3 linked regions of the Alligator mississippiensis genome follow. The main gene of each other region encodes a partner of the protein of the gene in region 2 in a complex. Links are inferred from orthologs where the notes say so. Each region holds a gene or a part of one and is shown on either strand. Other genes may lie near its edges.

Region 1 (9,633 bases), on a different chromosome or scaffold from region 2:
GACTCGATCCTGAGTGACATCGACTTGGGGGTGGCGCCGGAGGTGCTGGAGGTGGTGCGCACCGTGCTGCAGAGCTGCGTGCCCGGGGTCCACCGTGTGCAGGCCGTGCCCAGTGCTAGGCGCCCTGTTGTCAAGTTCAGCCACAAGGACTCGGGGCTGTGCGGCGACATCTCCCTCAACAACCGGTAACGCGGGCTCTCCGTGGGGGCCTGGGGACTGCTGCGCTGGGAGGGGCAGGTTGTTGAGGCAGCTGCCACCGTAGAGGCAAAGGTGGGAGTGGGGGCTGCCCCCCCTGACATTTCCCAACCCCCACCCTCCCCAGGCTGGGTCTGTGCAACACGCAGTTCCTGCAGCTCTGCACTGAGGCTGACGAGCGAGTGCGACCGCTGGTCTACGTGCTGCGCTACTGGGCCAAGCAGCAGGGCCTGGCGGGTGAGGATCTCCCCTTCCCCCTCTCGCTGGGGGCTGTGGCTTTGTCCAGGGCTCTGGGCTGGGCCAGTCTGGGGGAGAGTTGGGGGTGCAGGACACAGCCCCCCATCTCACAGTTGTGTCTGCCCTCTCAGGTAACCCTCATGGAGGCGGCCCACTCTTCACCAACTATGCCCTGACGCTGCTGGTGATCTTCTTCCTGCAGACGCGCTCCCCACCCATCCTGCCCACTGTGGCCCGTCTCCAGCAGCTGGCAGGTAGGGCATGCTCTGTGCCCTGGGGCTGTGCATGTCTGTGCATGGGAAGGCAGGGGCTGCTTGGGTCCAGGAGCACCAGGAGGCCGGGCACCAGTAAGAGAAGCAAAGGGCAGCTCTGTGGCGAAAAACGTCCCCTTGAGCTTGGCATGTGAAGCCTGGCTGGTGCCCACGAGAGAGCCATGTGCCCTGCCCAAAACTAGCTGCAGTTACACGGGCTGCCTGGAGCTGCCACATGTGTGGGTGTGTGTGTGTGTGCTTGTGTGCGAGAGCATGAGCCGGGGGTGGAGGGTGCGTGCATGTACATGCATGTGACATCCCTGTACCCTGAATCCAGCAGCTTTCATGCTCCATTTCGTTGGCCAGGAGCCCATGAGGTGCCAGGCCTGGCAGGGTCCCAGGAGTTGTATTCAGCCCTGTCCTTATCTTGGAGCAGGACAGTCCCAGCCCTGCCTGGTGCCCTTCCCACCTGCTCCAGGAAGGCCCCAGGGCAGGAGGGGACTGGCCGCCAGGCCCTGACCTTGAGTTAAAACAAAAGCCGGATGCACCACAGCCGCCTCCCTTTAGCCTTGGCCTCCATGATCTTGGGCTTGGGAGCCTGAACTAGAAAGAAACCCTGGGGTGGAAAATCCAAGTCCCAAAAGGACCAGGGCTTTTGGGGGAGCTCGGCTTGCATCTGGCAGCCCCCAGACACCAAGGCACAGCCTCTCCTCTGGGTGTTACCCCTAGGCTGGTTCTGGGGGCTTTGATATGATCCAGAGAAACCAAAGCAAGTTCCTCCCAATGATGCACCGGTGTATTGGGATGCTGTGCTCTGGTTTATTGCATGCCAGTTATTGTATGCTGGTTTACTGGGATACCAACAATCGGGCCACGTGACCCAGAACAGCTACATCCAGCAGAGACCACGCAGCCTCACCGCCAGCGGATGAAGACTCGGTGCTCTCAGAGTCTGCCCTCGTGGTCGAGGCGAGTTGTTGTGGAAGAGTTTTATCCCATTCAGGTTCAGATGTCTGCATTCCCGCCCGTTTCTCTACGACAGCAATCTCTTGGCTCAGGGAACAGGGAAACTGAGTCATGACCTGTGACTTGGCCTATATATCTCTGAGCTAATGACCTCTTGGCACAGGGAAACTGAGTCATAACTTGTGCCCCGTAGCCCATTTCCCTGAGATGATCTCTAGGCTCAGGGAGCGGGGAAATGGACCCTTGCTTTTTCCTGGGGTTGCCCGATTAGCACGGGAGTGATCCCTGACCAGTGCATCAGGGCTTCCAGGGAGCTGCCCCCCCAGCGCCTGCCATCTCCCACCTGCTGATGGCAGTGACTCGGACGGAGCTGCTTCTGGGACCGGAGCCTCCATGAGGAGGGAGTGTATGGACACCCCCAGCACAGCACTGGGGGGTGAGACCTCCTTGACATGTGGTCTGCGTGGCGTGGCTGGGGATCGCTAACCATCTCCTTCCTTCCAGGGGATGAGGAGCGGATGGTCGTGGACGGGTGGGACTGCAGTTTCCCCCGGGACGCGGCACGGCTGGAGCCCAACACCAACACAGAGAGCCTGTGTGAGTGCCGTTGGGGGGGCTGGGGGCAGAGGGGCCATGCAGGGATCCCTGTCCTCACCCCACTTCTTTCCTGCTCCCCCCAGGCGTCCTTCTGGCCGACTTCTTCCGGGAGTTCGGGGAACAGGAGCTTTCAGGTCACGTGATCTCCCTGTGCGAGGGCCGGGTGCTGCCCCTGGAGGCAGTGGCGGGTGCGGGGCTGCGCCTGGGCCCTGTCACCCTGCAGGACCCCTTCGAGCGCAGCCACAACGTGGCCACCAACGTCACGGAGCGCATGGCCCAGCGCCTGCGGGTCTGCTGCACCCGGGCCGCCAAGTACTGCCGCAGCCTGCAGTACCAGCGCAAGTCTGCCAAGGGCCGGCCCTGGGGCCTGGTGCGCCTCTTCCAGCCTGAGGCTGGTGAGCTGGACTCTGACGGGCTGCTCCTCGCCTTGCCCTTGGCCCCGGCTGCCCGTCGGCGTGAGCTGGGCCTAGATCCCAGCTCCCGGCAGAGCTGGTTTGGGCACGTGTGCGCTGGCGTTGCCTTTGTGCTCAGAGACGTCTTAAAGTGCAGTTGCACGGAGCTCCAGCGTCAGCCCCTTGGACATGCAGAGCAGCTCCTGGAGCCCCCCGGGGCATCCCTTCAGCAGGGGGAGACGGGGGAGCCCCCAACCTCCCCAGCCCAGCAGCCGGCAGCCCCCAGGGAGCCTGTGGATGCCCCCAGGGAGCTTGTGGATGCCCCCAGCGCCCCAGGAACGCCACCGGCTGCTGGGCTCAAGCGCCCCCTGAGCGAAGAGGAGGGGATCCCCAGCCCTGTCTCCGTCTCCCCTGCCCGGAAGAGGCCGCGAGCAGAGGCCCTGGAAGAAGCAGGGGCTGTGAGCTGGAGCTGCGCCCTGTGGCACCGGGTGTGGGTGGGCCGGCGCCGGGTGCGGCGGCAGCTGCGGCCCCAGCACAGCAGTCCCCTGGCAGAGGCCGGCACCGAGCAGGAGGCCGCACGGTCCCTGGAGCTGGAGGAGAAGGTGTCGGCGGCCATTGCCCGGCAGGAGGCAAGCGGGGAGCCGCTGCTGCAGTTCACAGCCTGCGCCCGCCTGGACGCCCAGGCCAGCCTGCGCTTCACGCCTGCCCCCCAGCACGCCACGCTCTTCCAGGACTTCTACCACTTCCTGCACAGCTTCCTGCCCACCATGCTCCAGCGCTACCTCAGCCGCGTGGGGGAGGCCAGCCCGGAGCCAGGGCCAGTGCCTAGGACAGAGCTAGACCTAGAGCCAGGCCCCCCCCGCCCAGTCCAGCCTGGGGCTGAGGCAGACCCCCAGTGAGCGACTCAGCTGCGTGGGCTCAGGACGCTGGGACGCTGCCCTGCTGTGTGCGCGCCGCCTCCAGCTGGGGGGAGAATAAAGGTCCCGCTCTTGTGTCCCAACCCGTGTCCTGTCTCCTGTGAGCTGGGGGGAAATCTCCCTCTCTGTCCCCTCTGGGTTTGGGGTGGGGGGACATGGCAGACGTGTTTGCCCGGTTCAGGCTGATGCTTTGGCCCGGCAGCCTCTTCTGCGCACCGCTGCACGGTGCCCGTCTCCGCGGCTGCTGTTGGCAGAGCCCTGGGCGCCCCACGACCGGCTCTGGCGCTTGGTCGAGCTCAGCGCGGGGGCGGGAAGCTCTGAGGGCACCACGGCCTGGTCCCAGGGTCACCCCGCCCCCCAGAGGTGTGAGAAGGGAGGCGGGGCGTGGCAGAAACCATGTCCTGGCCCTTTAAGAGCTCCAGAACCACGTGGGTTTCGAGTGGCGCGGGCCCTTTAAGAGCCCGGCGTCACGTGACAGCGGCCCGCCCACGTCATCCCCAGGCAGCAGAGGGCCGGGGGTTCCCCGCTGGCTGGCGCGCGCCCCCGGGGGGCGGGGCCGGGGCCGGTCCCCCTTGGCGCGCGGCCGCGCACGTGTGTGCGCGCTATCGCGCGTCGTCCCGGCCATGGCGGAGCGCGACGAGCGCCGCTTCGTGGAGCTGCCCCGCGAGTCCGTGCGGCTCATGGCCGAGAGTGCGGGGCTGGGCCCGGAGCTGCCCGACGACGTGGCCGCGCTGCTGGCCGAGGACGTCTGCTACCGCCTGCGCGAGGCCGCCCAGGTAGGGGGCAAGCCACGCCCCCGGCCACGCCCCCCGCTTCCTCCCTGCGACCCCGCCCCGCGCTGCTCCCGGCTCCTCCGTGACCCCCATCGCCCCCCCCCAGGCTCTTTCTGCCCCCATCCCCACCCCCACAGCAGCCCCTTGCTGCACCCCCCGTCCCCCATCTCCCAGCACCCGCACCCCTGTGCCCCCCACACCCCCGTGTTTCCCCAGTCACCCCATCCCCCCCACCTCCCGAGTGCCCCCCGATGCCACCCCCGCTTCCTTATGCTCACCGGTGACTACCAGTGCCCCACGGCCCCGCTCTCCTGTGGCCCCCACCCGTGCCCCTGTGGGCTCCCCAGATCCCCGTGCCCCCGATACCACTTCACACCCGCCCGCGCTCCTCGTGCCCATCAATAACCCCGGTCCCGCGCACCCTGCCCCCCCCCCCCCCCCCCCCGTGCCTGCGTGCGCCCCTGAAACCACCCGCCACTCTCCCCAGGCCCCCCGACCCCACCACGCCCCGGTCCCCCCATACCCATTTGACTGCCCCCCACCCTTATGGGGGGGCCATGTCCCAGTGACGCCCCCCTTGCCCCCCACTGCCAGAACAGCTCCCAGTTCATGAAGCACACCAAGCGGCGCAAGCTGACGGTAGAGGATTTCAACCGGGCGCTGCGCTGGAGCAATGTAGAGGTGAGTGTCGTGGGGGGGCTGTATCGGCTGCCCCCCTCCCCCCCCCCCAGCCTTCGTGCCCCTGGGGGGAAGGGGGCTCGCGCCTCCCCCTGCCCTGGCTGACCGTGGCGGGGGGTCATCCTAGGTGATCTGCGGCTACGGCTCCCAGGACGCGCTGCCCTTCCGGCCGGTCAAGGAGGGGGAGCTGTACTTCCAGGAGGACCGGGAGGTCAACCTGGTGGAGCTGGCCCTGGCCACCAACATCCCCAAGGGCTGCGCCGAGGCGGCCGTCAGAGGTATGTGGCCCCCCACGGCGGGACCCTCCCCCCGCAATAGCTGGACGTCCCTGGGCTGTGGCTGCTTGGGGCTGGAGATGTCTCCCCTGCCCCTGGGCTCATCCTGGGTCTCTGCCCCCTGCTCCCAGCCCTGGGGGACTCTGGGGAACACCCAGGCTACCCCCTCCCCATCCAGTCCTGGGCTGGGGCTTTTGAGGATCATCTGACTGGGCTGTGGGGGATCAGCAGGAATATCTGACCCCCCCCCCCCCCCCCGCCCCCCGCTCACCTTCGCAGTGCACGTCTCCTACCTGGATGGGAAAGGGAACCTGGAGCCTCAGGGAAGCGGTAAGAGCCTCAGCATCCCCCGCCCCTGCACAGTGCCCCCCAGCCCCAGGAGCTCCCTGGCAAGAATAACATCCATGGCGCGCCCACCCCTCCAGTGCTGTGCCCCGTTCTGGTCCCTGCACCGCCACGTGGGGAGAGAGGAGCTGGAGAGAGTCTAGAGAGGGGCAACAAGGGATTAGCAGCCTGGAGGGGTTTCCAGAGAGGGGCTTTTCAGAGAGGCCTCAACACACTGGAGGATCAAACCAACAAAAATCTCAGGAAGTTCAACAAGGACAAGTGCAAAGGCCTGCACTGAGGACGGAGCAATCCCATGCACCGGGACAGGCTGGGGGTGACGGGCTGGGCAGCAGCTCTGCAGAAAAGGGCCTGGGGGTGACAGTGGGCAAGAAGATGGCTATGAGCCAGCAGTGTGCCCTTGTTGCCAAGAAGGCTGCTGGCATCCTGGGCTGCATTGGTAGGAGCGCTGCCAGCAGATCCTGGGCAGTGATTCTTCCCCTCTATTCTGTACGGGGGAGGCCACATCTGGAGTCCTGTGTCCAGCTGTGGTCCCCCCTCCCCCTACAGAAAGGATGTGGACATGGAGAGAGTCCAGCAGAGGGCAATGAAAATGGTTGTGGAGAGAAGCTGAGGGAATTGGGCTTAGTCTGGAGAAGAGAAGACCGAGGGGGATTGAATAGCAGCCTCCAGCTCCCTGCAGGGCGGTTGCAAAGAGGCTGGAGCTGGGCTGGTCTCAGCGGGGGCAGACGACAGGACAAGGAGTAATGGGCTCAGGCTGCAGCAAGGGGGTTTAAGTTGGATATTAGGAAAAACTTTCTCACTAGGAGGGTGGTGAAGCACTGGAACGGGTTTCCCAGAGAGGTGGCGCAGTCTCCATCCTTGGAGGTTTTGAAGACCTGGGTAGATGAAGCCTTGGCTGGGATGTTGCAGTTGGGGCTGGTCCTGCTTGGAGCATGGGTTGGACTGGATGTGACCTCCTGAGCTCCCTTCAACCCCCGTTGACTATGATTCTTTAGGAGGAGACACTAAGGAGGACGGGCCTGGTCAGCACAGAGCCAGGGGCTAGGATGAGGGTTTACGACCTACTCAGTGTGGGAGAGGAAGTCCTCGGGGATTTCTTGTGGCCTCTCTCTCACCAGGCACGGACAAGGGGTCGCAGTGAAATCAGCAGGTTGGCAGTTTAAAACCAAGCCCAGGCAGTTCTTGTCCCCCTGCCTGGAATTTGAGCGCGAGGCTCGTTGTCATCAGACGTCAGGGGGAGCTGGGAGTTCAGCCCCGTTCCCCAAGGGACTGGACACGTCCTTGGAGGAAAGAGGCATCAGTGGCTCTGGAGCACGGGTGCGAGGGGCTCGGAGTCTGTAGCAGAACTACCTGGATCCTCAATGCTGGGGGCTGCACTTGGGAGAGGAACAGGAAAATCCTGCCAAGACCCGATGTCTGTCCCTCCCCACCTCTGCTCTCTGGAGACTGGGCCAGGTGGACCCAGTCGTGGCAGGACTTAGGGTCTTATAACCCACCACCCACTGCCTTTCCCAGCCGGCCTTCCCCCCTTGCCCCTGGCTGCCTGTGTTGGCTGTGATCTGCCCACCCAATTGATTCCCCTTCCCCTTGCAACTCCCCCATCCCTGGCTCCTTCCAGCTTTGGGTCCCCCAAGAGGAGCTGCTCCCACGGCCCCATGTCCCTGCCTCCTTCGGGCGGCCACATGGGGGGCTTTCCGGCAGCTTCCCGCTAATGCATCTCCCCCCGCAGTGCCCAGCGCTGTCTCCACACTCACGGACGACCTGCTGAACTACTACCAGCACGTGACGCGGGCCGTGCTGGGTGACGACCCCCAGCTGATGAAGGTGGGTGGGAGCAGGGGGAGTGGCATGGGGCAGACCCCTCTGACCCCCAAGTCAGCCTGGTGGTGACTCGGAGCAGGGCGCCAGGAGCCTCCAGGTCACCCCCAACAGAGCCCTGACAGCCCAGTGTCTGCTCTCCCGGGGGGGGAGCTTCCTTCCTAGCCAGCAAAGCCCCAGGGCCAGGCACACAGAGCAGCAGGGCTCCCTCTCCCCCAAGGACGGAGAGCCCAGAGCTTGCCCAGGCATTTCCCCCAGCGTTGCCAGGGCAGGAGTTTGCCCTGCTGTAAAGGCCTCCTGGTCTCCACTGCAGCGGGGGAGTGATTTCTGGGCCTGGGGTCAGGCTGGAGACCTGCCGGGGGCACCTGCCTGTGGTCCAAGCCCTTCCCGCCCCCTGCACCTGCAGGTCGCCCTCCAGGACCTCCAGACCAACTCCAAGATCGCGGCGCTGTTGCCCTACTTCGTCTACGTGGTCAGCGGGGTGAGTGGAGCTGCGGGCAGGGAGAGGGGGTTACCCTGCTCCGTTCCTATGGAGAAATTCGGGGGGGGGGGGCCATGTCCAGGTGTGGCAGGAAGGTTGGGCAGGTCATGTCAGAGGTCAGGGCTTGGGGCTGATGGTAACCCCTGAGCCTGCTCTGATCTTGCAGGGGAAGTCCTGGGGGTGGGGGCGGGTTTGCAGGGCTGGGGGGCAGCGCATATCCAGGGGTGGCACAAAGGCTGGAGGTTGGGGCCTGGGCTGACAGCGACCCCCGACCCTGCTTTGTTCTTGCACATGAAGTCTGGGGGTGGCAGCAGGCTTGTGGGATGGTGGAGCTGTGCCTGGGGGGAGCAGGAATGTTTGGGGTGACCACGGGGATCAGGGGTCAGGGCTGTGGTGGTGACCCCTGACCCCACTCCATCCCTGCAGGTGAAGTGCTGAGGGCGGGGGCAGGTTTGGGAGACAGTGGAGCCACGTCCAGGGCTGGCAGGTAGGTCACGGGTCAGAGACCGGGGCCTGGGGCTGACCCCTGGCTCCACTGCAGGTGAAGTCGGTCAGCCATGACCTGGAGCAGCTGAGCCGGCTGCTGCACATCGCGCGGAGCCTGATCCAGAACCCGTACGTGTGCCTGGGCTCCTACGCGCGCAGCCTCATTGCCAGCGTCACCTACTGCGTCCTGGAGCCGCTGGCTGCCTCCATCAACCCCCTCAACGACCACTGGACCCTGCGCGACTATGCTGCCATGCTGCTCAGCCACATCTTCTGGTGAGGCCACGCCGGGGGGGGGGCGGGGCATGGGGATCCCCCAGAGCTGCCTACAGTCTGCTGTACCTGGCCCCTGGTGCCCCCAGAGCCAGCTGCATGTTATATCCAGCACCCCCCAGGGCTGGCCACAGCCTGCTATACCTAGCTCTCGGCTCCCTAGAGCCAGCTGTGTGTTATAGTCCGCACCCCTCCAGAGCCAGCTGTAACGTTATATTCAGTCACCGGTGCCCATCCCAGAGCAGGCTCCAACCTATTCTACCCAGCCCCTGCCCCTGGTGCCCCCCCAGAGCCAGCTGCAGCTTGTTATCCCCAGCCACTGGTGCCCAACCCAGAGCTGGCTGCAGCTCATTCTACTCAGCCCCTGCCTCTGGTGCCCCCCAGAGCCAGCTGCCTATTATACCCAGTCACCAGTGCCCATCCTAGAGCTGGCTGCAGCCTGTTCTACCCCGCCTGTGGTGCCCTCCAGAGCCAGCCGGAGCCTGTTATATCCAGCCCATGTGTCTTCTCTGTCTCCCATCCGGGCTCAACACAGCCCCTTCCCCTGGGGAGAAAGGGTGGGGGGGCAGGAGGGAGTTTCAGCTTCTTCTCTGCCCTGCTAGGACACACGGCGACCTGGTGAGTGGGCTCTACCACCAGATCCTGCTGTCGCTGCAGAAGGTGCTGGCTGACCCTGTGCGCCCGCTCTGCTCCCACTACGGAGCTGTCGTGGGGCTGCACGCACTGGGCTGGAAGGTGAGGGGCTGGGGGGGACCCTGAGGTCACCCCCTGCCACTGGGTCCCTGCGGGGTGTACCCAGCTTCTCCCGGTGTCCACTTCCGCAGGCGGTGGAGCGGGTGCTGTACCCCCATCTCTCCACCTACTGGGCCAACCTCCAAGCCGTGCTGGATGACTACTCAGTCTCCAACGCCCAGGTGAAGGCTGACGGGCACAAGGTCTATGGTGC
Region 2 (9,633 bases):
GTCTGTCACCAAGAACCACTGGCGCAGGTCGAACTTGGTGCCGAAGATGAGCAGGGGCCTCTCGATGTACTTCTGCACCACCCACTTCCCGTCCTTCACCACAATGGGGTCGCAGTTCACCAGCCTCAGCATCTCCTCCAGGCGTGCCATGCACACGATCCCTGCAGCAACCCAGCACTTGATGCCATCCTGGCTGGCCAGCCAGCCTGCCCTTTCCTCCTCGGGAATAGCTCCAGCTGCAGAACCCTTGCAGGGACACCCAGCCCGAACGCTGTCCAAGCCTCGGAGCACCAGCTGCCTGGCCAAGGACGTTCCTCGCTGGACACAGTCCAGGTACTGGGAGCCAGGAGCTTGGGGGGCAGCAGGGCTCAAGGATCTGGAGCTGGAGCTGCGCAGTCCAGGGGGCTGGTGCTGGGTGAGGAACAGGCGCATCCCCTGGGGCAGGGGCCCCTTACCTCTGCCACGGGACTTGGCTCCAGGCTTCACGATCCAGATGTTGTGGTCCCCCTCCATCTCCAGCTGTGGCAGCAGCTCCTGCAGCTGCTGCAGCATGTCTTGGCACTGCTCAGCATGGGCGGGCGACAGCTCCAGGGGTGCCCCCTCGCTGCAGTCAGACACGGCTGCTCAGAGCCAGGGGCCGAGCAGCCCCCTGCCCAGCTCACCCTGGTCCCCAGCACTTACTGCACCATGCAGTAGTAGCCACGCAGGAACTCCTCCCAGCGGGCATCTGCCCTAGCTGGGGCCAGCTCTGCCGCCTTGTCGATGTCCTGGTGCTGCAGGCTGTTCAGGTGCTCCTCGCAGGCCTGCAGCGCCATCTCCACCAGCCGCCTGGGGAGCGGGCTGCCCCGCCGCCGGGCAGCCCCCCGCAGGGACACTGAAAGGGGGAGCAGCAGGGGGCTCCCTGCTTTGTCTGGCAGGCCTTGCCCCCCAGGCCCATGATGCAGCAGGGAGGTCAGTGAGCTGGGTGGAGCTGGCTGGGGGCTCAGTGGTCTCTGGCTGTAGGGGGCTGTGCTCTGGGCATAGCAGGGCACCAGAGGACCAGGCACCCCCTGCATGTCCTCTCCTCCTGGATACCGGGGGCAGGGGCAGCTGTCCAGCTGCCCCCAGCTGGCTCCAAGGGAGGAGAGGGTCAGCTTGGCCCTGGCATTGTCACGTCCCTGGTCCCGTGTCCACCACCTACCAGGGGATGTGCTGGCCTCTGGGGGCCCCTCGTGCGTGGAGTTGGCCCCGGCCTCCCGAGCAAGCGGGCCACCGGCCCTGCTCAGCACCACCTTGAGCAGGCTGCGGGCAGCAGTGAGCCGGAAGTCCTCTGTGGCGGCAGGGGGAGAAGGTGTCAGCTGGCACGGGTGGCAGCGAGGGGGTGGCATCTGGCCCTGGGAGTGGCTCTCACCAATGAAGGCCTGCTTGTCGTCCTCGGCGCCCAGCCGGTAGCAGCGGGGGAAGAAGGTGTCGGCGTCGGCCTGGTCGAACCAGGGCAGGTTCCGGAGGTTGAGGCACAGCCCCACCTGTGGGGATGGCAGCCGGGCCTGGCGAGGCAGCACCGGGGGCTGCCCCCCGCCCCGTGCGCCCGCAGCCTCCGCGCCCCGCACCTTGGTGGTGAAGGAGCCGGCCCGGGCGTAGTGGTTCATGACCTGCTCCTTGCGCAGAGCGCGGCAGTCCACGACGTCGCGCCGGTTGGTCCAGATGAAGTAGGGCACCTGGTTGCGAGCCAGCCGCGACTGCGGGGGCAGCGGGTGAGGGCCTGCCCCGTGCCAGGCCGGGAGCCCGCCCAGCCCGGGCCCGCACTCACCAGGAGGCTGTAGGTGCCCTCGGGGTCCTCGTCCTGCCCCTCCTCGCCCTCGCCCTCGCCCTCCTCCTCGGCCGGGGGAGGGGAAGAGCGAGCGCCGGCGGCGAGGGCGCGGGCCGCCCGCTCGCCCTCCGGGGCCGCGGCGCTGTCGTCCGCCTCGGCCTCGCGCTCCCGCCGGCGTGCGGCGCGGCCGGGCCGGGGCAGGCGCTTCTCCACCCAGCCGCGGGCGCGCAGCAGGCTGCGGATCACCGGGTAGGGCCCCTGCACCACGAAGATCTTCTTCTGCTGCGGGGACAGCGCCGCGCTGGAGCCGGGCAGGGGCGGCGGCGGCCCGCTCCCCCCCGCGCCCCTCACCTTGGCGGCGCGCTCCACGTGCAGCCGGGCCTGCTTCAGGCGCTCGGGCTTGAGCGCGGGGCGCTGCCGGCCCCGCTCCGCGCCCGCGCCCGCCCCGCGCCCCCGCGCCTCCATGGGCCGCCGCCTCGCTCCTCGGCCGGCCGCTGCGGGCGGGCGGGCGGTGCGGTGCGGCGCCGGCAGCGCGGGGACTCGGCCGAGCCTCGGGCCGCCCCGCCCGCCACGGCCTGTTTGGCGTCTCCATGGAAACCGGCAGCAGCGGCCGCAACGATCCCTCCCGCCGCGCCGCGCCGCGCCGCGCCGCGCCGCGCCGCGCCGCGCCGCGCCCCCGCACGGGGCAGGCAGGGCCGCCGGCGGCCGCGGGGAAGGGAGCGCAGCTATTTATAGCCCTCCCACCCGCAGGGGAAACCAGGGGCCGGCTACAGCCGTGACTCAGGCCCGGCTCTCGGCGCAGCACCACCCCCAGACCGCCGGCGAGGAAGCATGCAGCCCCTGGAGGCATGAAAAAAGGCTTTAATAGGGAAGGTTTCAGAGTAAGAAAAGTTACAGCAAGTGCAAAAGCAAAAGAACCAAGAGTTACAGATTCCAGCTCCGTCAGGGGAGGCCCTGCTCTGGGCAGAGCCCCGGCTCCCTCCACCACAGGCAGAGGGAGCAGAGGTGAAGGCCAGCGGCGAGAGGACGTGCTGCGCCGGGAATGCCCTGTTCCTGGGGGCGGGTTGAAGGAGAGGGGGCTGCATGCGTGCCTGCCGACCGGGGTGCCCAGGCACAGCAGCTGCCACAGCCGCTGTGCCTGGACCCCCGGCTCCAGCAGGGGGGACAAGCTGCAGCCTTCCCCACTCCGCCCCCGCAGGGAACAGGCAGACTGGAGCAGGCACTGCCCAGGAGCAGGGAGGTGGAGGGCCCAGCCCCAGCCCGAGAGAGCTGCAGTCCTGCCCTAAAAGCAAAGCAGGCCCCTCTGCTGCTGGGCCAAACCCCTGCAGATGGCACCAGGCGCGGCCTAGCTGCGGCCCGAGCACTAGGGGCAAGGAGCCACATTTGGCAGCTAGCGGGCACCCCCCTTTGCAGAGAGGCCCTGCTGGACGCTGGCAGGGCGGCCAGCAGCTGCCAGCCTCGGGGCAGGAGACACGCATCGCACGTGCTGTCCAGCGCCATAGCAGCCAAAGCTCCCCTCCAACCCCGCGCCCCCACCGCTAGGAGAATCGGAGACGTTACAGCAAATGATTAGTCATTTAAAAAAGAACATGGAGTCGACACAGTCTCAAACAAGCACGGTTTGCTTCAAATATTAACTCCTCCCTCCCTTCCCTGGGGACGATGGAGAATGCAATGTACATTCCACTGGACAGCTCCATAAGATCTGGCTGCTTCTCATCTCTCTTCCCGAGAGCAAGGCCCAGGCTGCGGCCCCCCAGCCTGGCAGGGCGGCTGTGCAGAGACGCAGGAGAGAATGAGAACGTGAAGCCGTGGAGTCCAGCACCATGGTCTAAAACTGGGCAGGGGCGAGAAGAGACAGGCCGTTAATGGCTGCAGGTCTGATTTCCGGCCACACACCGCACAGGGCCAGGTTGGCGCCCTGCCAGCCCCCCTGCGTCTGCACAGCCGAGCCGCCTCAGCCCGAGCGCACGAGGGCGGGATGGAAACAATCAGCGTGGGAAGCCGGCACTGAGGCCCCTCCCACAGCGCAGCAGGCTAGAGACATCCCTTCTCCCCCCGCTGCCTGCCCGAGACGCTCCAACCCACAGCTTCTGCTTTCGCTCCCAACAGGCTGCCGCGGATGTCACCAGCCTCCCTGCAGCGGGTGGGCGGCCTGCCCCAGGTCTCTCGGCCCTGCAGGGGCTGCTGCACCCCCCACCGCTCCCTGCACGGGGAGCCTCAGCCCCCCACGCAGGGGCCAGCGGGCAGGGGCTTCTTCTAACAGGGGGGTCAGACAGCCTAAGCAGGCCGCTCTGCTCCCCTCCACCGAGCCCTCTAACAGAACCGTGCCGCTGCCCCGCACCACGGGCGCCCACCGCCCCGCCTGCGAGCCTCACGTTTTTGAGGAACTCCTCCGCCACAATGCGAGCCCTGGCATTGACGGACAGCTTCATCTCGCTGATCTCCTTGTCGATCTCCTCCATGAAGTGTATCACGAAGTCCACCAGCTTGTGCTTGTACATCTGCTCCGTGTGGAAGTTCGTGATCAGGAAGCTGATGTCGTAGCCCTGGGGGAAGAGGAAGGGGCGAGCGCTCAGCCCTGCTGTGCCCGGGGCCCAGCGGGAAGCGGCCCGGCCCGGCCCGGCGCCCCTCACCTCCACGGCCTTCCTGCGCAGGATGAAGAAGTTCTCGGCTCTCATCATCATGAACCGCATGAACTTGTGGCAGAGGATCTTCTCGATCTCGTCAGCCTGCGGGCAGGCGAGGGGGGGAGCAGGGGGGCGGAGGAAGTCAGGCTCGGCCCCCCCGCCCCGCCCCGCGCCGCCCCCCCGGGCCCCGGCCCCGGCTCACCTGCTTCACGGCGATGCTGACCCGCACCGAGTTGATGGACCCCTCGATCAGCACCTTCTCCTTCTCGTTCCGGCTGATGATCACGGGCTGCAGCAGCAGCTCTTTGCTGCTCCTGGCAGCCGCCCACACGTCAGCCCCGGCCCCGGCCCCCGCCCCCGCCCCCGCCCCGCAACGCCAGCGGCCCCCGGCGCGCCGCCCCCCGGGCCCGGGCCCCGGCCCCGTACCTGACTTCCACCTCGGGCTTGTTGTGCCGCTCCACCACCTGCGACGAGAAGTTCTCCAGGCAGAGCGCGGCCTGCAGCGTGGCGCGCACCGCGCTCAGGTAGGGGCGCAGCGTGGCGGTCTGCGGGCAGCGGGCACGGGTCAGCGCGCCCCGGCCCCCGGCCCCGGCCCCCGCCCCCGCCCCGCTTCCCCGCCCGGCCCGGCCCGGTCCTACCATGGCGGCGCTGACGGCGGCTCCGGTGGGGTCCCGGGAAGCGGAAGCGGAACTAGCGGCGCGGGCGGCTCCTCTGTTCCGGGACGGGCGGCACCGCCCATTGCGCCCCGGGGGCGGGGGGGGGGGGGCGGAGCGCTGCAGGAGCCGCAGCCGGAGCCACCCCCTCACGCGGGAGCAGCGGCCGCGCCGGGGCCGCGACTTCACCTCCGAGGCCGGGGTCCTCTCGCCGCCGCGGCCCCGAGCGCCCTGAGCGCGCGCCCCCGCCAGCGGGATCCGCGCCCCCCCCTCCCCCCGCGCCGCACTTGGTACGGCCCCGCCGCGGCCTCCATATTAGGGAACGGAGAGCGAGCGGGCGGCGCGGCCAATGGGGATCTCCGCGGGGTGCGGCCCAGCCAATGAGGAGCGCGCGGGGCGGGCGCTGACTCTGGCTACGGCGGCCGGAAGGGGCTGAGCGCGGCCGCGGCGCGACCCCGGCGGAGCGCCCCCGCCCCCCGCGCCCGGTGCCGGCGGCGGCCACGTGCGGAGCGCCCGGTGCGCGGCGCCCGGCGCGATGAGCGAGTTGAAGGACTGCCCGCTGCAGTTCCACGACTTCAAGTCGGTGGACCACGGCAAGGTGTGCCCGCGCTACACGGCCGTGCTGGCGCGCTCCGAGGACGACGGCATCGGCATCGAGGAGCTGGACACGCTGCAGCTGGAGCTCGAGACGCTGCTGTCGTCCGCCAGCCGCCGCCTGCGCGTGCTGGAGGCCGAGACCCAGGTGCGGGGGCGGGGCGGGGCGGGGCGGGGCGGGGCAGGGGGGCCGGGCCGGGCCGGGCCGGGGCTGAGCCGCGCCGCGCCGCCCGCAGATCCTGACGGACTGGCAGGACAAGAAGGGGGACCGGCGGTTCCTGAAGCTGAAGGAGCACGACCTGGGCGCCCCGGTCAAGCACGGCAAGCCCAAGAAGCAGAAGCTCGAGGGCAAGGGGGGCCACGGGCCGGGGCCGGGCCCCGGGCGGCCCAAGTCCAAGAACCTGCAGCCCAAGATCCAGGAGTACGAGTTCCCCGACGACCCCGTGGACGTGCCGCGCATCCCCAAGAACGACGCGCCCAACAGGTGCGTGCCCGGCCCCGCCCGCCCGCCTGCCCCGCTCCGCCCTGCCCTGCCCTGCCCTGCCCTGCCCGGCCCCCTCGCAGCACGGCTCTGCCCCTCCCCCCGCAGGTTCTGGAACTCGGTGGAGCCGTACTGCGCCGACCTCACCACCGAGGAGCTGCGCGTGCTGGAGGAGCTGCTCAAGCCGCCCGAGGACGAGGCCGAGCACTACAAGGTGAGCGCCCGCGGGCCCAGCTGCGCCCGGCGCTGCCGCCGAGCTCGCGCCCTGCACGCTGCCCCCGGGCCCGGCCTGGACGGGGACCGCAGCCAGGCGATGCTGAGCCGATCCCGTCCCCCCCACCGCTGTCGGCCCCAGGGACCCTGTCGGGGGCCTGAAAGCCCAATGCGGCGCCAGCCAGGAGGGGGCGTTCTCTGCCCTCGCACCAGGCACCGAGCAGCATCTCGGGCGCCAAAGGACGCCCACGTGTCGCTGCCAGGCAGGGCCAGACAAGCGGTCTCTGCCACCCCGCAGGGCTCCCGGCTCGGCCATCAGCCTCTGGCTGGTTGGCAGCAGCAGAGCACAAGGGAGCGCGGGGCAGGAGTTGGAGGTGATCCTGCAGGGGCTCGGCGCAGGCTCCTGGCGTGGTCGGGCGCATGGGGCAAGGCCAGGGCACCGGAGCAGCCCCTTGTGTCGGCAGCCCAGGGCCAGGCACGGTGCAAAGCTCCGGGTGCGATGGGCGTTCTCAGACTTGACGCAGAGAAGCAGGGACGCTCAAGTGGCCCCTCCCTGAGCCTGCCGATGTGCTGTGAGCCTGGCGCCCTGTGACTTCCTGGAGGCAGGGCCTGCAGCGCTGCAGGAGCCTGGGCGCTGGGCCGTGGGGCTGGGGCACTCCCCTGTGGCCGTGTTCCCCAGGAGGGGACGGCGGCTCGGGGCTCCCCAGCCGCGTGCTGCTCACAAGGCTTCTGTTGCAGATCCCGCCCCTGGGGAAGCACTACTCGCAGCGCTGGGCCCAGGAGGACCTGCTGGAGGAGCAGAAAGACGGCGCCCGCGTGGCTGCAGCTGCGGACAAGAAGAAAGGCGTCCTGGGGCCACTGACCGAGCTGGACACGAAAGGTGCCTCTGGCTCAGCCCTGCATCCCGGCAGCTGGGCACAGGGGCACCTGGTGCGGGGCACGGTCTGGTTCAGCCAGGCCTGGGGAGCACAGATGACCTTTGGGCTCCGGGGCCCTGCCCAGCACGCGGGCACCTTGCTCTGCAGCCTGCCTGGGCACGCTCTACGGGGGGGCAGGTGGGGTGAGGCCTGGGACCAAGAGCCACAGGTGGGAGGGGGGTTCCCTCGCTGCTCAGCTGGCTCGGGGGCCCATCTCCCCAACGCTGCTCATAGCCCCCTCCCCGTCTCCCTGCAGATGTGGACGCACTGCTGAAGAAGTCGGAGGCCCAGCACGAGCAGCCCGAGGATGGCTGCCCCTTCGGCCCCCTGACGCAGCGCCTCCTACAAGCGCTGGTGGAGGTGAGTGGGGCTCCGGGCTGGGCCGTACTTGGCCCCCGCTGCCCAGCGCTGACCCCTGTCTCCACGCTCTGTTGTTAGGAGAACATCATCTCCCCCGTGGAGGACTCCCCGATCCCCGAGATCGTGGGCAAGGACTCGGGGGCTGATGGCGCTGGCACCTCGCCCCGCAGCCAGAACAAGCCCTTCAGGTGAGCAGCCGTGGGGCCCCGCTGCCCTCTTCCCTGCGGCCCGCCTTGAAAGGGCCCGTGGGGTGACAGCAGCCCGCCCTCGTCCCTGGCAGCGTGCCGCACACCAAGTCGCTGGAGGGGCGCATCAAGGAGGAGCTGATCGCACAGGGGCTGCTGGACTCGGAGGACCGCCCGGCCGAGGACGCTGAGGACGAGGTGCTGGCGGAGCTGCGCAAGCGGCAGGCGGAGCTCAAGGCGCTCAGCGCTCACAACCGCGCCAAGAAGCACGACCTGCTCCGGTGGGTACCGCAGGCGGCCTGGGGGCCGGGGCCGGGCCTGGGCCTGGGCCTGGTCTGGTGGGGCTGACGGCTCTGCCCTGGCAGGCTGGCCAAGGAGGAGCTGCACCGGCAGGAGCTGCGGCAGCGCGTGCGCATGGCGGACAACGAGGTCATGGACGCCTTCCGCAAGATCATGGCCGCGCGGCAGAAGAAGCGCACGCCCACCAAGAAGGAGAAGGACCAGGCCTGGAAGACCCTGAAGGAGCGGGAGAGCATCCTCAAGCTACTGGACGGCTAGCGGGGCTCTGGACTTGCCCGCGCCGCCCCGCTGGAGACTGGCTGAGCGCGGGGCCGTGTGCCGGGGGGGGGCCGCGCTCCCTGGGGTCGGGGCTGCGGGGGGGTGGAGGGGCCTTGCTTGCTGCCATGGAGCGGGGCGGCCGGGCCCGCACCCCGGCTGCTTGTCTGCCACGGCCAGGCGGGCGCTGCGCCGCCCTTGCCCTCCCTCTCCCCGGGCGCCTCTTGCTGTGACTCCCCTGCCCCTGGCTGCCCCAGCCCAGCTGGCCCGCGGGGCGGCCGATGTGGGGGCGGCCCCGCGCCCGGGGGTCGCGTTGTGTGCGGCCCGCGCCTGCCCTCAATAAAGCCCGTGCGCGAAGCCTGCGCTGTGTGCGGTGCGGTGCGGTGCGGTGCGGTGAGGGAGGGGGCGGGGGGGGGGCAGTGAGTGGGCCCCGCCCCCCCCGCGCTAATTTTAGCTTGGCCCCGTCTCCAGGCACCCCCGCCGCCGCCCCCCGATTGGCCGCGCCGCGCCAGCCCCGCCCCCTGACGTCACCGGTGGCTGGCCCTGGCGCCGGGGGAGCCGCTGCGCCGGGCGCGGGACCGTGCAGCGCCGAGCACCGCCCGCCCCCCCGGCCCCGCCCGGCCCCGCTCCGCTCCAGCGCGGCCCGGCCCGGTAAGCGGCGGCGCGGGGGGCGCTGGCCGCGTGGGTCCGTGCCCGGGGCGGGGTGCGGGCTCGGGGCGGGGCGGGGCGGGGCGGGGGTCGGTCCCGCGCGCTGCCGGGCCGGGCCGGGCCGGGCTGGGACAGGACAGGACAGGCCCCGCCCCGCCCCGCCCCGCGCGCTGCCCCGCGGCCCCGCAGCAGCTGCCGTTGTCATGGCAACTGCCCGGGATTCTTCCGAGGCCGCAAAGTTTGCGGAGTGGACGCGGGCCGGGAGCCGACGGGCTGCCCGTGGCCCGAGCCGCGCTGCCCGTGCCGCGCAGGGGGCTGGAGGTCCTGGCCTGGCAGCGCGGGCCCCGGGCCCACCCTGGCTGACACCCCCGCCTGCCGCCCGCGCAGGCCCCGAGCTCGGCCGCGCCGGCCCTGGGACGCGCAGGCAGGCGGCCCGGGAGGGACGATGCCGCTGGGAGAGGACGGCCCCAGCTGGAAGAAGAGGACCCAGGACATCCGCGACATCTACGAGTTCCGGGAGATCCTGGGCACGTGAGTCGCGCCGCGCCGCCGGGCCGGGCCCCGCCGCAGCGCCGGGGCTGGGGCCGCTCCCGCCACGTGGCCCGCGC
Region 3 (9,633 bases), on a different chromosome or scaffold from region 2:
TAGCTGCTTTGTAACCCTGCAACTTTACTACTGCAGTGGCTGACAGTCAATGCCAAGAGAAACCCTGGAGTTAGTCTGCTGAGGAACATGAAGGCTGTTCATCAACAAAACAAGTGACCAGAGGCAACTTATCTACCACATTTGTACTTACCCAATCCCCGTTCTTGGGTCATCTAACTTCCCTGCTTTTTCTTCACATCCTGACACCACTTTGCTACAATATAGACCCTGGTTAATGAGGAAAAAGATGCTGGAAGCAAAGCAACATTCACAAAACTCCAAGCTTTAAGTATTCTGTGCTTCAGAGCAGAAAATTTTTGCAAGTGTCACTTTGCTGCCAGTACTCTGAGGAGAGTGCAACACAAGAAGACAGGCTCCCACCAAGTGGGATGTCCCCCCTCCCACCCCAAGAAGAGCAGGTGCTGCACCAACAATCCTTTTGGCCAACAATAAGGAGTAAACAGCTACACCACGCTTGGTCTAAACCCATGCGAAAAGATCCATTTCAACAGTGCACCAAAACCTATTAGATCTGATGTACTCATCTACTGTCCATATTTAAAGGGCAAATCTTTCTTCTTAAAGTACTGACTTTAAGATCACACAAGGAGTTACAGGTTAGTATTTTCCATGATCCATTGCAAAGAGTCCCTCTAGACTGAGAGCTGTAAATACTCATGTTTTACAGGAGAAATCCAATCTTGGGGAAAGCGAGAGAAAGTAATGGAGTCCTGTAGCCCGCGGTGAGCCTTTTGTTCGTGGGGATGGGGGGGGCGTTCATTTCAGACAGGTTTTATGAGGCGTCCCTGGATATCCAACCACTTTCTGTTAGAAAATTTAAAATCCTTTTCTTTAGTACCTTATCTAGGTTACTGGGAAGGCGACTTTTTGAAGGAATTCCTTGTCTTTTTTGAAGATGGTCTTTAATTATTATAGTTTTCACAGTCACGTAACGTGCCGGACTCAGATTCAGAGAGCTGCAGAGCACCTTCTCTCTGTCTGACAAGAGTTCAAAGTCCGGCAGGTTTTCAATTGCAGCAAATTCACCATCTTTGCCATCTTCCTTTCCTCTCTTGGAACTGGCAATGTTTTTATTCTCCTTCCTTTTCTCCCGTTTGTGTCTAGCTGCCTCATACTCTGCTGACTCCTCCATTTTGGTGATCCCATTTCGACGGTAGCGCTGCAGCTCTCTAATCTTTGCTCGAAGTATCCTCTCCTTGTGCATGTTCTCAAAGAAGTCTTCAAACTCCTTACAGGACATGAACTGATACAGGGGCCTCAGTTTTAGCCTCAACTCCTTTTCTTCTTTTGTGATCTTGCGTTTTGGAGCCTTTTCCTTGTCCTTTTTATCCTTCCCCAGAAAGGCAGGAACCAAGTTATAATCTCGTGCAATATTTTTTCGCCGTTGTCTCTCCTTAAGTTTTCTTACGTACATATCCACATGAGCTCTTTTTAATTCTATTTCCACATCATCATCATCATAGTTCACTGAAAGGCCACTGATCAGAGTCTCAGCATCTTGGTCGTACTCAATCTCATAGTCATCCCGAAGTGGCATGTACCCCAGCTGCTGCTGCTCTGCCACTGATATGTCCAAAGGTGGGAGAGGGGTGGTCAAGCTAGGAGAAAGTGGGCCACCGCTGGGGCAGGTGTGATCTGTAACTCTGTTGGGGATGGTGTCAGGGATGCAGGCTTTTCCAAGGTTACCATGGATATACATGCTTACATAGTGTTCCATCACTTCCTGGGGAGTTCGGGATGCTCCAACATGAGCAGCCATATCCTCCTAGAAAAAGAACAAAGTCAGAGATTACTGATGGACTGATCATTTCTGAGTTATGCCCAGTGTCACGGATGAGACCTGCATTATCCACACAAACATCCAGCTTTAGATGGCAAAACTACCCAAACTCATATTTTTTTTAAGTTTTCTCCTACACAAGTAAGCAACAATTTTCATAACCATATGCAGACAGAGAATTCACTTATCATCCAAAGAGCTGTTGTGTCAACATTTGGAGACTAAAGTCAAGAATTAAAATATAAACAAGAATTCTACTCCAAATGTAGTACTCCCTGCAGACTCAGAACCAATAACCCCAAATGTAATTTTGGTTTTGCTCAACTGGTTATAAATACATTTTTATAAAAGACACAGGTGAAGGGAGAGGGGAAATCAGTACTTAAAATTCTCTCACAAGAATATTTTTATTTAAGTAAATAACTACACTCAAAAGTAAGTATTTAAAGGGTTCTGGCTCTGTTAGGTAGTAACAATTTAATTCAAGCATCATCAATATGAAAGAGAGAGAGCCATTTTTCTATGTTGCACCTAAACGAGAAAAGAATTTGTTATTAGAGGGTAACAGGATGTTGAGAGGGCAAGAAATGATCTGATAATAATAGCACACTGGAGAAAAACTCAGAATGTGGTAGAGACACAAAATAAGGAAGAAAGAACGGAGGACATTAGATGTGCAGCACCCCTCGGGTTTTTTGGGAGAGGATACATTTTTAAACTCAAATATCTAAAAAAAAAAAAAATCCTGTTGTCAAAGCTCCTTGAAAAACTTAAAATCATCCCTCACTACAACTCCCCTTGCACTTGTATAACATGAATACACTAAGTCCTCACGTAGTTTCTATCTTACCTAGTTCAGTTTTCTCCTCTTCTATACATTAGAAGACAAGGCTAGACAAAACATATCCAGACTGTGAGAAACTTGAACCCTGATCAGATTTTACTGCTGTTGTAACTGTTGCTTAAAGAAATCACAAAACTATTGGCTGACAAAAGCCTTCCAAGAACAAACAAATGAACAACGATAAAACTTCCATTACTAGGTATCTAAATTAAATGGAACAGCTTTGGATGCCACAGTGCTGTGCTTGTATCTTAAATAAATCAGCTAACACTGCATGGCATGTAGCTAGATCAGACTGTGTATAAAAGGATGTTGCTCTGGCACTGCACAGTCTTCCAGAAATGTCCCTCGCTCCCGCAACCCTGATCAACAATGAAACAGTTAACATCAACTTTGCAAGTGCCAACATCTTGAGTTAACATTTCCTGCACAGGAGCTGCTACTTTGTTTTTTAAAGACTCAGAAAGACAACAGGACATCCCATTCACTTAGTTTTCCTTCATCTGACATCATGTTCAGAAATACACAAAACCCTGTAGCAACCTTGTTTGCTGAGCTCCAAATAACTATTCTTAAACACTGGCATTTTAAGAACTGACTTGAACATAAAACTGCACAACAAAAAAGTCATCCACAGGTTGTATTATGTTAAATACGGTCTAAGCAGGGACTACAGATTCTTATCCCATTACCTGGATTATCTTTAAATCCTACGGCTTTGCTGTTCCTGCCATCTCCTTCACCTCTCTCAGTACTGCCCACTCTCCCTTCTTCTCCTCTGTCTTTAAATCGCATGTAAAGCAGGAGGACCATGGTGGCTAATGCCCTGCTGTTGCAAAGGTTGTTAATACAGGCTCAAGAGATCAAAGAAGACTGCCACAATCCCTGCTACAGAAGAAGGCAAACCTTCCAGTCCATACCAATCTGAACTTCAGGTAAAATTTTTTCCTGACCCCAAATGTGGTGATCAGCCTGACGCTGAGTGGAGAGGCAAGACCCTCTAACTGGGAACATCTGGGTTTAAGTCTCAGCAAGAGCACTGGTACAACCTCAATCACAATCTGCAACCTTGGCTTCAGCATAGCTTGCTATGTCCCTTCGCAGTGTCCAACAGAGACAGCTGTTGCTCGTGAAAACTTATGCAACCCTGATTTGGTTACCCTAGGCACACCTACCCTGCTTCTGCCCGACTTCAGGATAACATACCTGATTACCACTCACCTGAACGAGCTAGAAACCAAGTGCTCCCCCACCTCTACCTCAGCATAAAGATCTTAGGCTCTGCCAAAGCTCAGTCTCCTGAGCCAAGGTGGACACATAGTACTTCACTTGGACATCACACCAACATCTGCTGCCCACCACAGCCAGAAAGCAGCTGCACACATGAGCTGCACAGTGACATGAGCCTAGCAGCTGTCAAGAAAACAGATGCAAGCGAAGCAGAAGCATGGACAGCACGGGCAGGCCGGAGGCATCAGAAAGAAGCATCCGACTTTTGGAAGCTGGGGCAAAGTCAGTACCTGACGACAAAGGCTCTGGTGCTGGAAATGACCAAGCTTCCTGTAAGCCCTTGGGGTGCAAGATGCTGCGGTGGGGCAGGGCAGGAAGGAGGCAGCAGCATGGGACAACAGGGTCTGCAGCACCATGGTGTCAAGGACTGGGGATTTTACCAAGAGGTTAAACAATAGATTGGTAGATGGTTTGGGTAGAATCAATCACAATCATGGAGTCGTAGGGGTGGAAGGGACCTCCAGAGCTCATCTAGTGCAACCCTCTGCCTGAGGCACAATCATCCCTATCCAAACTATCCCGTACAATCTGTAATCTAAGCCAGGGGTCAGCAACGTTTTTGGGCAGCGTGCCACAAACCCTTTCTGAACTCGTAAGATGCTGGCGTGCCGGGAGCAGACGGCAGGAGAGCTGCGAGGGGTCTGATCCTTCTTACAGCAGCGCAATCCCAGCCCCTCCTCCGCTGTCTGTCCCAAGACGCACACACACTGCTGCTGGCACCGAGCTGGACCACAGCTCTGCAGACCCCAGTGCAGCTGCTTGCGGCCTCCCCATCCCCTGCCGCGAGCAGCCTGGGATCCGCAGTGGATGGCCCAGAGCCCAGCCCGGCTGTGGCAGGCATCTGGGAGACCAAAAGCAGCCGTCTGTGGAGCCCCAAGCCGGGTGGTGCGCGTGCACCTTGAGCTGGACAGTGGGAAAGGGGCTGGGGCTGCCACCAGAAGGATCCGGCCCTCGCAGCTCCCCCACAGCCAACCCCAAGGACTGAGCAAAATGTCTTCGTGTGCCGCACTGGGCACGCACCGGGGTGGGCGACCCCTACTTCAAGTTCTGTGTGATGCGGCCGCTAGCCTGGGCGCGCGTGCCACAAACCTGACACGCGGCGCAGGCACCTACCTTAGAGGCCTTCAAAAGAAGGCTGGGCGCGCGCCTGGCTGGGGTTACGCGAGCCCAGCCGCCCAAGCAGGGGGACCAGACCTGATCCCACCCTACGCGTGTGTGGACCGGTGACAACGGGCCCAGGTCAAGCAGGGGAACCACCGCCCGCTCCCGTGGCCCCGCGTGGAGGGAGACATCCCCCTCAGGGAAAGGGGGCGCCCTGCCGAGCCCGGGGGCGATGCCCTCCTGACCCCCGAGGAAGGGGCCGGCTCGGGCTGGGCGGCCGCTCCCGCTCCCCTCGCGGGCGACGCTGCGGGAGCGGCTGCCGGCCGCGTCCTTACCCAGTTGCCGAAGCCGAACTGCTCGATGGCGTCGAGCAACAGCTGCTCCTCCCGGCTGCTCCAGCCGCCCTCGGCCTCGGCGCCCCACAGCGTGAAGCGGCCGCCGTCCACCAGCTGGTAGCCGTGCCATCGGCGGTGCGGCCCGATCTCGGCGCCGGCCGAGAAGCAGTCCGGGCACAGCTCGATGTCGGCGCACTCGGTGCAGCGGAAGCGCAGGGAGCTCACCTCGGCCAGGCAGTACACGCAGTACTTCTTCCCCAGCTCCGCCATCTTCCCCCGCCCCGCCCCACATTGCGCACGCGCCGCCCCGCCCCCGCCAATGGCCGCGCGCCCCGGGGGTAGGGCCCCGCCGCGGCCGCCCAATGAGCGCCAGGGGGGCCTGCTCCGCCCCCTCCAATCCCGCCGGGGCGGCGGGGCAGGGCGACAGCGCGCGCCCCAATGAGGGCAGCGACGCCGAGCCGGTTTCCCTTCGTTACAACCAATCAGAGCCCTCGTGGGGGGGGGAGAACCGTTGCTCCGCCCGCCGTTACCATGGAGACGGGGGAAGCTGCCGCCGCGTCTCAGGGCGCCATGGAGCAGCCGGAGGAGGCTGACGAGGAGGAGGAGGAGGAGAAGGAGGAGGCCGAGGCCGAGGCGGAGGCCGAGAGCCCCGAAGCGGGCTCGGCGGCGGAGGCGCGGCGGCGGGCGGAGCTGGTAGAGCAGTACCGGGCGCTGCTAGTCGAGCGCGAGCGGCTGCGCCAGGCCACGGCGCGCCAGCAGTTCCGGCTGCGGGAACTGCTGCTGCAGCGCGGGAAGCGGCCGGACGAGCCGCCGCCGCCGCGGACCGAGCCCGACGCCGAGGAGCGCTACGCGCGCTGCCTGGCCGCCCTGCACGACCTGCAGGCCCTCCGCGCGCAGGAAGCCGCCCGGGCCCAGCGCCGCCGGGCCGCCCAGGAGACCGCCTGCGAGGAGGCGCGGGGCCGCGCGCGGGCGGCCGCCGCCGCCTACCGGGCCTGCGTGGCCGAGGCGGCGGCGACGGGCAGGCGGCGGCCGGGCGGGGAGCGGGCCGAGCTGGAGCGCCTGCAGGCCGCCGAGCAGCGCAAGGACGAGGAGATCAGCCAGGTGAGGCAGCACGGGGCTTCGCGTTACCGTATTGTTCTGTCACTAAAGTGCGGGAGTACACCAGGAAATACGGCAGCAAGCGCTCCTGGGCAGGAAGGAAAGTCAGGTTGCTATATCTTCCTGTCAGTAATTGGGATGCGTGAGTATGCAAAGAAATACAGCAGCGAGCGCCCCACCAGCTCCTGCGCAGGAAGGAGTGAAGGTCGCGTTACTATATTGTCCTGTCACTAGTTGTGATGCGCGAGTACACCAGGAAATACGGTATCAAGCGCTCCATGAGCTCCTAGGAAGGTCACATTGCCGTATTTTCCTGCCAGTAGTTAGGGTGATTGAGTATGCCAAGAAATACGGCAGCAAGCAGCCCACCAGCTTCTGAGCAGGAAGGAAGGAAGGCCACGTTACTGTATTGTCCTGTCACTAGTTCGGATGCATGACTACACCAGGAAATACGGTAGCGAGCACTCCATGAGCTCCTGGGCAGGAAGGAGGAAAGGTCACATTACCATATTGTCCTGTCGGTAGTTGGGGTGCGTGAGGATGCCAGGAAATACCGTAGCCAGCGCTCCAGCAGCTCCTAGAAAGGAAGGAAGGTCGCATTACCGTACTTTTCTGTCAGTAGTTAGGGTGCGTGAGGTACTTTTCTGTCAGAGTTGGGGTGCGTGAGGATGCCAGAAAATCCTCACACCTTTCTGCCCACTCCCACCGTTTCAGGTACGCCTGGAGAACATCAAGCTGAAGCACAAGATTGAGCAGCTAGAAGCAAGACTGAAGGCCCAGGAGGAGCTGGCTGAAGGGCTGCACCTCATTGACTTCGAGCAGTTGAAGATCGAGAACCAGACCTACAATGAGAAGGTGGATGAGCGCAACGAGGAGCTGCTGAAGCTCAGGAAGAAAGTCACCACCACAGTGCAGGTCTTGACACAGCTCAAAGAGAAACTGCAGTTCGTGGAAGCCGAGAACCAGGAGAAGAAGGTCGAGTTGCTGGAGATCGAGGCAGTGCTGGCACAGAAGAGAGACGTGCTGACCAAAACTAAGCAGGCCAGGGATCGTTTACGGGCAGACAATCAGAGGCTGCAGCAGAAGTGCGGCCTGCTGGGGAATGAGGTGCTGCTGCAGGACTTTGAGAACAAGGTGGATGCTGCTCAGGTGCTGAATCAGCAGCTGGAGAACCTGAAACAGCACCATGCTGGTCTCACCATTGCCTGCAAGGGATTCAAGAAAAAAATTAAGGAAGCCAAATCCTTTCTATCGCCGTGAAGATACCGGAGGGAGGCAAGATCTTTAGAGACACCAAAACCGGGGGTGGGGGAGACTACAAATAAAAGTACTGGGAAATACCAAATATATATTTTTTTTTGTACAGGCAAAAGAATAAACTAAATATTTTACTGGAAAATAATCTCCTTTCTAAAGCATGTTTACTACTATTTATTGTGCAGGAGACTGCCATGCAGTTCTGCCTATCAAATGGCCCTTGAAGAAACCAAGCACATTTAGCCATTTTTTAATTGAAATATTTCACACTTAACAACATATCTGACATTGTAACCCCTGGCAAAGACCGAATCAACCTAAAGGTCTTCTGGTTCTGCTATTAACACATCTTGTGGCCTCTGCAGTTTCAGTTTCATTTTTGGAAACTCAAGCATACTCACCTGGTCGTTAAGTACATTTTTTTAAAATACTGAATTTTTAAAGCTATTTCTAAAGCTATGAATGTGCATTACACACACTGTTTTTCTTTGCTGTTCCGATTAAGAAATTAAAGGTAAAGAATGATTTGATGCTTAAGGTCACTACAAAACACAACACTAAAAATACAATATTTCATAGTTGATCTTAAAATTTCAAACCCAGTAGTCATGGTGACTCAGCTAAGAAGTTAAATCAGTGGAGAATTTAATTCCAGAAGCTCTGATTCATTAATCATTAGATAATTTCAACTACATATTCAACATACGTGAAAGTCTTCTGAGAAATGATAGACCGGAGGTTGTAACATTCCAATTACAAAATAAAAAACAAAAATACCATCATTACTGTCCCGTTCTAAAAATGTGCACACAAACTTGTCTTGAAATGCATTGGCCAAACTAGTGGCAACGAGACTAGTACATGGTGCTAAGAAGCTTGGAACAGGGGCTTACCCTTGCTTGTTTCTCCAAATGATCTCTATGGTAGATCTTTTATGGGGTTTATTTTTTTGAACCACTTCACTTCAAATATTGGCATCACAACTAAAAATGGATGCAAGAGGGCACAATTCAGTCTGTAGCAAAGAAGCAGGTCAGTTCAGTACTGAGAACTTGAGCCTTATTATTATTAAGCCATCCCACACAGGGTTAGCATTGACAATATGGTCCAGTAAGTCTTGCCTTGCCTCCTCTTAGAATTTAATTTGACCAGATGCCCCGGAAGAGCAGTTAAAAGATCTGTCTTTTAAAGAACAGTTAAAAGATGCAGTAAAACACACTACAAGTCACACTTATTTGTACGTACTGAAGCTCGACTAACTGCTAAACCTGCAGTAGTATGGAGGCAGTTTGAAAAGTAGGGTGTTACTTAAAATACATTTTACTGCAGAGTTAATAACTTTGTACCCATCACTAGTCAGTATAAGAAGAAAATTATCTTAAATCAGAAGTGTCAAAAGCATCTAGCCCTGCAGGCTGGATCAGTGGTGCAGGGCTGGCTACCCCTGCAGACTGGATCAGGCCCACAGGACCTCTCCCTCACCATGCTAGTTCAGGACCTGGTATGAAGAGGCTGGGTACTTGGCTGCTACCATGGGAACAAGCCACAGTATCAGACTTCTTACTGCCATGCTGCTAGGGCTTGGCTCCAGGATCGCAACTCTTGCCTGGGCACTTTGCTGCTGCAGGAACAAGCTGCAGTCTTGGTCTCCTTTCTGCGGCACTGCTGGGGCTCTAGCACTGTTTCTCTCTCCTGGGTTCCTGGCAGCCAAGCCAATGACAGCTGTGCTGCTGGAGCCCTGCAGCTGCAGCCAAATGCCTGGGCAAGAGCCATGGCACCAGAGCCCCAGCATCAGCATGGGAAGAAGCCTGGTGTCATGGGTGCTCGGCTGCCGTGGGAACAAGCCACAGTGCCAGGCTTCTTCTCTCAGTGCTGGAGCCTCAGCAGCATAGCAGCTCATACCCAGG

The links.
Region 1: TADA3 (region 2) and TAF6L share a complex: the UniProt entries of both Homo sapiens proteins name them as parts of the STAGA transcription coactivator-HAT complex. The link is inferred for Alligator mississippiensis from reciprocal best matches to the Homo sapiens genes TADA3 and TAF6L.
Region 3: TADA3 (region 2) and TADA2B share a complex: the UniProt entries of both Homo sapiens proteins name them as parts of the TFTC-HAT complex. The link is inferred for Alligator mississippiensis from reciprocal best matches to the Homo sapiens genes TADA3 and TADA2B.

What each region holds. Positions count from the first base shown.
Region 1 is NC_081838.1:3,250,724-3,260,356, forward strand, and holds the start of TAF6L (TAF6-like RNA polymerase II p300/CBP-associated factor-associated factor 65 kDa subunit 6L), read left to right. Parts: upstream 1-4,035; 5' UTR 4,036-4,178; coding exon 4,179-4,331; intron 4,332-4,922; coding exon 4,923-5,009; intron 5,010-5,133; coding exon 5,134-5,284; intron 5,285-5,560; coding exon 5,561-5,611; intron 5,612-7,358; coding exon 7,359-7,453; intron 7,454-7,853; coding exon 7,854-7,928; intron 7,929-8,469; coding exon 8,470-8,690; intron 8,691-9,289; coding exon 9,290-9,422; intron 9,423-9,511; coding exon 9,512-9,633. Other genes in the region: TUT1 (speckle targeted PIP5K1A-regulated poly(A) polymerase), read left to right, coding at 1-185, 323-432, 564-686, 2,154-2,246, 2,330-3,537. UniProt on the Homo sapiens protein: Functions as a component of the PCAF complex. The PCAF complex is capable of efficiently acetylating histones in a nucleosomal context. The PCAF complex could be considered as the human version of the yeast SAGA complex.
Region 2 is NC_081835.1:472,432-482,064, reverse strand, and holds TADA3 (transcriptional adapter 3), read left to right. Parts: upstream 1-5,247; 5' UTR 5,248-5,607; coding exon 5,608-5,814; intron 5,815-5,902; coding exon 5,903-6,150; intron 6,151-6,255; coding exon 6,256-6,361; intron 6,362-7,098; coding exon 7,099-7,240; intron 7,241-7,533; coding exon 7,534-7,637; intron 7,638-7,715; coding exon 7,716-7,825; intron 7,826-7,917; coding exon 7,918-8,103; intron 8,104-8,187; coding exon 8,188-8,380; 3' UTR 8,381-8,734; downstream 8,735-9,633. Other genes in the region: tubulin monoglycylase TTLL3, read right to left, coding at 1-161, 456-604, 682-1,309, 1,391-1,505, 1,590-2,381; ARPC4 (actin-related protein 2/3 complex subunit 4), read right to left, coding at 3,621-3,626, 4,168-4,338, 4,426-4,521, 4,622-4,733, 4,846-4,964, 5,058-5,060. UniProt on the Homo sapiens protein: Functions as a component of the PCAF complex. The PCAF complex is capable of efficiently acetylating histones in a nucleosomal context. The PCAF complex could be considered as the human version of the yeast SAGA complex.
Region 3 is NC_081825.1:25,914,292-25,923,924, forward strand, and holds the start of TADA2B (transcriptional adapter 2-beta), read right to left. Parts: upstream 5,660-9,633; 5' UTR 5,642-5,659; coding exon 5,372-5,641; intron 1,787-5,371; coding exon 794-1,786; 3' UTR 1-793. Other genes in the region: CCDC96 (coiled-coil domain-containing protein 96), read left to right, coding at 5,903-6,472, 7,184-7,729. UniProt on the Homo sapiens protein: Coactivates PAX5-dependent transcription together with either SMARCA4 or GCN5L2.